2 linked regions of the Xenopus tropicalis genome follow. The main gene of each other region encodes a partner of the protein of the gene in region 2 in a complex. Links are inferred from orthologs where the notes say so. Each region holds a gene or a part of one and is shown on either strand. Other genes may lie near its edges.

Evidence for each region.
Region 1: the proteins of kpnb1 (region 2) and pthlh are in contact, whole or in part, in a crystal structure (PDB 1M5N), measured with the Homo sapiens proteins. The link is inferred for Xenopus tropicalis from reciprocal best matches to the Homo sapiens genes KPNB1 and PTHLH. Residues at the interface, in NP_002256.2 of Homo sapiens: Val55, Tyr104, Pro106, Gln111, Glu152, Tyr156, Gln159, Asn196, Leu199, Asn200, Gln239, Glu274, Gln278, Glu281, Asp288, Ile295, Ser298, Glu299, Asp339, Asp340, Trp342, Val350, Met353, Glu395, Trp430, Arg434, Glu437, Asn469, Trp472; in NP_945316.1 of Homo sapiens: Tyr103, Thr105, Gln106, Glu107, Thr108, Asn109, Lys110, Val111, Glu112, Thr113, Tyr114, Lys120, Thr121, Pro122, Gly123, Lys124, Lys125, Lys126, Lys127, Lys129.

The regions. Positions count from the first base shown.
Region 1 is NC_030679.2:10,530,106-10,534,652, reverse strand, and holds the end of pthlh (parathyroid hormone-related protein), read left to right. Parts: intron 1-1,443; coding exon 1,444-1,842; intron 1,843-3,320; coding exon 3,321-3,330; 3' UTR 3,331-3,915; downstream 3,916-4,547. UniProt on the Homo sapiens protein: Neuroendocrine peptide which is a critical regulator of cellular and organ growth, development, migration, differentiation and survival and of epithelial calcium ion transport.
Region 2 is NC_030686.2:10,834,673-10,839,254, reverse strand, and holds the start of kpnb1 (importin subunit beta-1), read left to right. Parts: upstream 1-1,704; 5' UTR 1,705-1,894; coding exon 1,895-1,934; intron 1,935-2,068; coding exon 2,069-2,127; intron 2,128-4,582.

The sequences.
Region 1 (4,547 bases), on a different chromosome or scaffold from region 2:
AGTACCTGTACTTGATCCCAACTAAGATATAATTACCCCTTATTGGGGCAGAACAGCCCTATTGGGTTTATTTCATGGTTAAATGATTCCCTTTTCTCTGTAATAATAAAACAGTACCTGTACTTGATCCCAACTAAGATATAATTACCCCTTATTGGGGGCAGAACAGCCCTATTGGGTTTATTTCATGGTTAAATGATTCCCTTTTCTCTGTAATAATAAAACAGTACCTGTACTTGATCCCAACTAAGATATAATTACCCCTTATTGGGGGCAGAACAGCCCTATTGGGTTTATTTAATGGTTAAATGATTCCCTTTTCTCTGTAATAATAAAACAGTACCTGTACTTGATCCCAACTAAGATATAATTACCCCTTATTGGGGGCAGAACAGCCCTATTGGGTTTATTTAATGGTTAAATGATTCCCTTTTCTCTGTAATAATAAAACAGTACCTGTACTTGATCCCAACTAAGATATAATTACCCCTTATTGGGGGCAGAACAGCCCTATTGGGTTTATTTAATGGTTAAATGATTCCCTTTTCTCTGTAATAATAAAACAGTACCTGTACTTGATCCCAACTAAGATATAATTACCCCTTATTGGGGGCAGAACAGCCCTATTGGGTTTATTTAATGGTTAAATGATTCCCTTTTCTCTGTAATAATAAAACAGTACCTGTACTTGATCCCAACTAAGATATAATTACCCCTTATTGGGGGCAGAACAGCCCTATTGGGTTTATTTAATGGTTAAATGATTCCCTTTTCTCTGTAATAATAAAACAGTACCTGTACTTGATCCCAACTAAGATATAATTACCCCTTATTGGGGGCAGAACAGCCCTATTGGGTTTATTTCATGGTTAAATGATTCCCTTTTCTCTATAATAATAAAACAGTACCTGTACTTGAAGCGAGAGCATGGGGACTGGTTGCCCTTATACTGAAGAAACAGTACAGAATATTTAATTGATTACATTTAGAAAGTTTCTTATTTCATATTAAATTTGCCCTTTAAAGGGACATGATCTTTAAAAACACAAATAGGATGCTTTCACCCTTATTTACATTATATATAGGTTATGGCCACTTTTACACTTCTATATTTCTGACACAGAAGCCCAAGCTGCCCATATACAGGCCAATATAACGCCCCTCAGGACCAACTCCTTATTTTATTTTATTAACGCCTACTGCATCCCAGCAGCAGTCACAGTTTACATTCCCTGGCAGTCAAGCAGTTAATGAGGCCTGACAGCGCTGACTCAAACACAATAAATAAACCCGCTGGCATTAAGACATTGCACCCCCGGCCAAACACCAACGGACTATGCCGGAATTTGTGTGAAAGTTGTATCTGTGTTGTAGAAAGCTAGTTGGTCCTCTTGGCCTATCAGTGCAGCAGGACTAATGCCGTGCAATGTCCTATCCCCACAGGCGGAGGGCAGTATCGGAGCACCAGTATCTCCACGACAAAGGCCGGGCCATCCAAGAGCTGCGGCGCAGGATATTCCTCCAGAACCTGATGGGCCGAGTGAACACGGCGGGACTGCACGCGCCACCGGACGAGGCCTTGCTCCCCGCCACCAGCGTGAAGAACTACAACACCCTGCGCACGGTGGCAGAAGAAGAGGGGGCCACCACGCACCTGACTCAGGAGACACAGAAATCACTGAGCTACAAGGAGCCCTCTCCGAAAACCCACGGCAAGAAGAAAAAAGGCAAGCCGGGAAAGCGCAAAGACCAGGATAAGAGGAAGAGACAGGAGCGCTCAGCGCTGGAAAGTCTGCAAGACCCACCGGGATCGGCTTTTTGGTTGGAAGAATTAGATTACAGGTAATGGTGTCAACTTGGTCTTCAAGGTGGGGATATCGAGAGAAGATCCGCTCGCTTGGCGACCTCGCCAAGCGAGCGGATCTTCACGTGTATGGCCACCTTTAGATTATTCCTATCTCGGGTTGCCACCTTTGTAGAGTCAAAGTGGTCAAAAATAGAGTCTTGTCTGGATTTCACACCTATAAAATAACTTTAAAGGAGAAGTAAAGGTAAAAACCACAGGGCCGCTCCTGCCATGAAGCAAAGGAGAACCTTGGCCTTGGCAGTAGGAAGATGCCAGTTACCAGGGGCGGCAAAAAGTCACCCGAATATTTGTTATTTGGCTCCCCCCAGGGATTTTTTACTTTCCTTCTCCATTAAGGCTGCACCACCACCTTTTTACTTGCTATACAGGCATTGGTTAGGGCATTGGTTGGGACATTGGTAGGGGCATTGGTTAGGGCATTGGTTGGGGCATTGGTTGGGACGTTGGTTGGGACATTGGTTGGGGCATTGGTTGGGGCATTGGTTGGGACATTGGTTGGGGCATTGGTTAGGGCATTGGTTGGGGCATTGGTTGGGACATTGGTTGGGACATTGGTTGGGACATTGGTTGGGACATTGGTTGGGGCATTGGTTGGGACATTGGTTGGGGCATTGGTTGGGACATTGGTTGGGGCATTGGTTGGGGCATTGGCTGGGACATTGGTCGGGGCATTGGTCGGGACATTGGTCGGGGCATTGGTTGGGGCATTGGTCGGGGCATTGGTCGGGGCATTGGTCGGGGCATTGATTGGGGCATTGGTTGGGGCATTGGTCGGGGCATTGGTCGGGACATTGGTCGGGGCATTGGTTGGGGCATTGGTTAGGGCATTGGTTGGGGCATTGGTTAGGGCATTGGTTGGGGCATTGGTTGGGGCATTGGTTGGGACATTGGTTGGGGCATTGGTTGGGACATTGGTTGGGACATTGGTTGGGGCATTGGTTGGGACATTGGTTGGGGCATTGGTTGGGACATTGGTTGGGGCATTGGTTGGGACATTGGTTGGGACATTGGTTGGGGCATTGGTTGGGACATTGGTTGGGGCATTGGTTGGGGCATTGGTTGGGGATGGCCCAAGTAAATCCCTAGGAAAATCGAAGTAGACAATGGTGCAACACCCTAATGAAAAGTACCCCGTTTAGTGCCGACGCAGGCTTCCCTTGTGCTTTTGGGGGATAAAAATGACACCCAAGGCATTTTGATGTCCAACCATTAAAAATCATTCTTTGAATTCATTAGGAAAATATTTCCAAAAAGAATTTTAAAAAAATCATCCTCTGTAACTATGCTTATACCATAGCGCCACCTTGTGGTGGTAAAGAGCACAGACTCTATTTTTGGCTCAATGAAAAAAAAATACCAAATGAATTGCCCCCAGATCTATCGCCCGAGAGGGCTCGGCGGCCGCACACGTTTGGTTAAATTAATGCCTTTCTTTTCCCTTCTTTCTCTGCAGGACGCAGTGAATATTTGACTGGAGAATACTTGCATTTTGGAGAAAATCGGAAATATAAAAAAAAAAAAAAAGACGTGCGTCAGAGAATATTCTGGATCCGTACATACGAGCTGTATTTATTATCATCCACGTGCGCTGTCCCTTCCCGCCATTTGTAAAACTGCACAGTCGCATTTCGGCGGCCTCCCCCCTCCCCCCCCCCGTCTCTTATTTATTGGTTGAATTATGTATTTATTGTTTGACCCTTGTGCTGCTGCCCTCCTTTTTATAAATGTTGCACTTTACGTTCAAAAAACTCGCAGAAAATCCTTGATTTTTTTTTTTCTATTTTTTGATATTGAAACCGATATAGCATTTTGTGCATGTAGAAAAATGTGGTATAATTTGTACAGAATTGTGTAATAAATCCGGTGTAAAAAAAAAAAAAAAGAAAAGAAAAACGAAAAAAAAAAAAACCGTTATGTCTGATTTCGGACGCCCAGTGACATTCCAGTAGCCCGACGACTCCTGGTCAGCTTTGCTGTATCTGTAACCTAAACATCTGGATACAGTGGCCTCTGTCCTATAAATAAAGTTCTTTTCTCTCGGGCCCTTACATGGCTTTGTATTGTTTTGTTTTTGTGTATCTTCTTATGTTCAGGTCCGGACTGGCAATCCATGGTTTCTGGCAAATGCCAGAGGGGCTACTGCAGAATGACATAGACAGTCACTATTCAGTGGGCTGGTTGGGCAGGGCCGGAACTAGGGGTAGGTAGAAGAGGTACAACGGTGGGGGGGTGCCAGGCAGGTACCTTTTCTTCTACCTACCACCGGTTCCAGACCCTTTCCCCCCAATGTGCAGCGGCCCCGGTAACCTCTTCCTGTAGACCTGTGCCCTGTGTGCGCATTGGAGGGTGTTGGCGGCCCAAGCCAACCGGGTTGCTTAGGGCGCCTGGCCGGCTTGGCCTGGCACTGTGGTTGGGGTATATTTGGGCCTCTATGTACTTGAAATGTCAGGGAATATTTTAAAACCCAGTCCAGACCTGTGTTCATCCATGGCCAAACCTTGGTTTACCCAAACCAGAGTCAGACTGGGTCGGAAAGATCCAACCCTTGCCGGCACTCCCTCTGCCCAACCGTTCTTCTACTGACACATTAAATTTACACACGCTCAAGGTAGGACGTTGGGTGGGGGACCCTGCAGCGGGTTAGGGGGGCCCCTGCATGGGGGGATTAGGGGATGCAGCC
Region 2 (4,582 bases):
TGCCGAATCGGTCCAAGGGACCAATATCGGCAGCTATAGTCAGCCCGTGTATGGGCACCATAAGGGTGTAGTATATTAACATGCTCTTGTGGTTCTCAGTATGTGGGGAAGACCATATGGAATGTATCTAAATGCATTCTGGACTCTTTAGAGACAGGAGACTTAGGGCAGGGGTACACGGGAAGATTAGTCGCCCCGCGACAAATCTCCATTCTCACGGGCAACTAATCTCCCCATAATGCCATCCCACCGGTTAGAATGTAAATTGCTGGTGGGATGGCATACGTGGCGCCGCAATGTCGCCCGAAGTTTCCTCTCAAGGCGCGTCTAATCTACCTGTGTGTTACTGCCCTTAAGATCAGCAATGTCCAAACGTATTTTGAAGAAACATGACGGTAACGCACATTTTACTTTTCAGATTATTGACAGGCCATCTTTTCAGATAAGGATCTAGAGAGGAGACTGTTAAGGCAAGAGGCTTTTTGGATCTATAACTTGAATTCCCTGGAGTTCCAGGGTGGGATGAATAGGGAATGGGAGTTATCCTGTTTCTATTGAGAATTGTATAAATGGGGTTAACTTTTTGATTCTCCCTCCATTATATTTGGGTCCTCCTAACTATAAGTATTTCTATTTTGCTATCCTTATTTGTACTTCTTTTATGTATATTGTGTGGTGTGTAAGGGTTCATGTAGTCTATATCAGGGGGCTCAAACTCAATTTACCTGGGGGCCGCAGGAGGCAAAGTCAGGATGAGGCTGGGCCGCATAAGGGATTTCACAAAAAATTGGCTTTCAAGGGATAATGCAAGGCACGGCGGGAGCTGCTGATTGCGGAAATGACGTTATGCCATAACAGTTATTATGGGAAGATGTTCTGTGTGCACAATTAGCTCCTTAGCAGCTGTGCACACAGAATGTCTTCCCATAATAACTGTTATGATGGCATAATGTCATTTCCGCAATCAGCAGCTCCCGCCCGCCGTGCCTTGCATTATCCCTTGAATCGCAATAAAAATCGCGATCCATTCGTTGCTTTTGAGAAGGCGTTGGTGCGGGCCACAAAATACTGTACTGAGGGCCGCGAGTTTGAGACCCCTGGTCTATATAGTCCAACTAGTCTTTTGACTAGTTGGATTATATAAGCCCCTCCCACTTACGGGCTGATAATGCTTCTGAGGCCATGAAACGCGTTAAGCGTAGCTCCATGGCTGTACATATAGGTTTTTACATATAGGATTGAATAAAAATGACTGTTTTTTAATCCAGCTCTTTTTTTTGGTGCATTTTTTCTATTTCCTGCCACTAAACATCTGTCGTGGTTTGTACAAAGCCATCCAATGACTTGGGCTCAGTAAAGCTGCGCTGCTAGCACTACAGCCTGCCGAGCGGCGGCCACATGACTAAGCAGATTGGAAGCGCTAAACTTCTCTTTCAGCTGTTGAAAGACTACAACACCCAGAATGCCTTTGGGGAGCTCTAACCACAGCAGCAGTCGCCTTTTCCATTTCTACAATAAAATAAAAAGTATCGTACTTTTCAACTACCCTTCAGCTCGCCATAGTGTAATAATGACTCAGTACGGAAAGGGAACACTCTCACCCCACAGTGTGAGGACTTGGCTAATGGGCCCGCCCTTTCATTGGCTCTACCTAATAGGACGCACCCCCTCTCCCCCACAACCCTTAGCGGCACTCCTTAGGCGCAGCAAGTCCCCTCACAACAACCAATAGGTTTCCGGGACGTACAACTAGATCCGGCAGATATCCGTGCGCAGCAGAGCCACACCTCCTCAGCCCCATTCTTCCCTCTGACACAAGCGCGCTCGAATCCCTCCGCGCCACGCTTGCTCACTCCGGCAGCCCGCCTGAGCTCTGTGACCCGGCACCGCCCGCATGGAGCTCGTCACCATCCTCGAAAAGACCGTGTCTCCGGGTACGGGCGGCTGGTTATTGGGGGTATTATTGTGTGGGATAACAGTGAGGGGAGGGGGGCAGCAGGGAAATGCATGGGGATCCCCAATAGAGCGGCAGGGCCCTGAACCCATGTCTACCCTTCTTTTCCCTCAGACCGCAATGAGTTGGAGGCGGCGCAGAAGTTCCTGGAGCAAGCTGCAGTCGAGAATCTGGTGAGAAATGATAGAAGTTGGGCTTGAGAAGGAAGCCGGGTAGGGAGGCACCATGACAGCCACACGGAGCCTTAGGTTGGCCGTGCCGGCTCTCCCACTACATTAAACGCATGCAGGAAACAGCGACACTTATAAAAAGAGTCCCACTATCAAAGTAGCCACCAAGCTGGCAGGGGGCATGCTGGGAGTTTATTTGGACTTATTAGGCCTGGGGGGTAATCGTTCTCTGATAACCCCCGCAGCACATAGGAAGCCGGGAATTGCTGGGACTGCCACTGCCAGTAGGTCGCCAGCTGTTCTGAAATGGCTAGCGCTGTGGTGCCCGGCCAGGCCTCAGTGAAAAGCGCCAAGACTGGCGCAGCCTAACTTGCCCGCCACCCTGCGCTAGCCAATGGGGAGGCGCGGAGCCATTTAGCCGGGTCTAATTCGGCCAATGAGAAAGCGAGAAGAGGGAGCGGCGAGGGGGGCGGTGGTAAAGCACGTTGCGTTGCACAGCTATGTGGGGCTAATGGGGCTCCTTGTGGCATCGCATGATGTCGCATTTGGGCTGCTCTGTGCGTGTTGTGTGATTTTCCTGTGCTGACAAATTGCATTTTTTTGCAGTCCTTGGAGAATGTACAGAACTCAGTGTAGGTGCAGTGTGACATGCCACATTCCTGTCATTGTGAGCTTCCTTGTATTGCAATAAATGTCGTTAAACCCTGCAAACTAAATGCTTGCTTCCTGTTTCAAGGTATTCTCTAAGTACCAAATGTTTTGTATTGCTTTGCCATGAAGCTGACATGTTACTGTTTTCTTCAAAACTGACCTGCGCTTAAAGGAACAGTAACACCAAAAAAATGTATATATTTTCAAGAAATTAAACTATACTGTATTGCTGCCCTGGTAAAAATTGTATGTTTGCTTCAGAAACATTACTAGAGTTTATATAAACCCTGGTGTGTAGCCATGGGGGCAGCCATTCAAAAGAAGAAAAGGCACAGGTTATATAGCAGCTAACAGATAAACTCTGTAGAATACAATGGTGTCTTATCTGTTATTTGCTATGTAACCTGTGACTTTTTTCCAGCTTGAATGGCTGCCCCCAGGGCTACTCAGCAGTGTATTTATATAAAATATAGTAGTGTTCCTGAAGCAAACACCCGAGTTTTACTAGTGCAGGGCAACAGTACGTTATATTTCAATTACTTTAAAACACTTTCATTTTTTGGTGTTACTGTTCCTTTAAGTTTTTGAAATGTTAGGAAAGGATCTCGGGAAACAAGTGGTGCCAATGGCTGCCATCTTTACTTGGCAAAGACCAGGCTGGGGGTGGGGGGCAGGGTTTAATACAGGGGTGCACAAAAGGTAGATCACGGTCTACCGGTAGACCTCAAGGTGGAATGCAGTGGGATGACATCCCGCCACTTCCCCCCCCCCCCCCCCCAGCATACTGAAGCTTTCAAGTGCGACTGCTCAAGCCGTCTTTGTAGTTTCATCCCAGTATAGAAGATTGTCCCCACTGGGCCACTGTATATATTTGTTCCCACTTCATATATGTTTCTGTGTGCAGACTACAAAGTGGGCCATAAGGAAGGGAAGTAAAAACTACTACAATCCTTTCACATTAAACTTGAAGTTGGCACGTGAATAATGTTATGTGGGCATTAAATGTGAATTTGGCACTGCATTTATATATTGCTATGTGTATTTGTTAAACATCCATTGATATTTCTGTTGCTTATTGTGCCAAATGATAGACGTTGCACTATTTTAACTGTGGTAGAGCTCATGACTGAGGCCAGGTGGGAAGAGTAGATCACAGAGTGACAAAATCTGGGCACCACTGGTTTAATAGAACCATCATGTACCTTTCCTCATGCCAGAATTCATCTCTTACCTCCATGTCACTTTGTTTTTATAATAACAATCACTTAAAGTGGCCTTGCATAGGCTAAAAAAAAAAGCTACTGACTTTTAGATCAGTTTATCCACTTAGGGCAGTGGCACACGTGGAGATTAATTGGCCAGTGTCAAATCTCCCGGCAATGCCATCCCACTGGCTAGAATGTAAATCGCCGGTGGGATGGCATATGCGTCGCTGCAGTGTCCCAAAGTTTCCTTTCAAGACAATTTCGGCCGATTTCGGGACATTGCAGAAATGCGTATTCCATCCTGCCGGCGATTTACATTCTAGCTGGTGGGATGGCATTGCGGGGGATTAGTCGCCCATAACAATGAAGATTTGTCGCGGGGCGACTAATCTCACTGTGTCCCGCTGCCCTTCTTGGTCTGTATATGGTGTCCTCAAGAGACCTACCCAAATAAAGTTTTCCCTGAAAATTGTCCAGCATGTTGATGTCTCCTTAGGTCACACAGAATGATCCAATTTCTGGTCCCTTGTTGGATCAGCCAGTTAAATGTCTGACCTGCCCAATTGGCTACGAAAAATTAGAAGTGTTGTGTATGTTAAGTG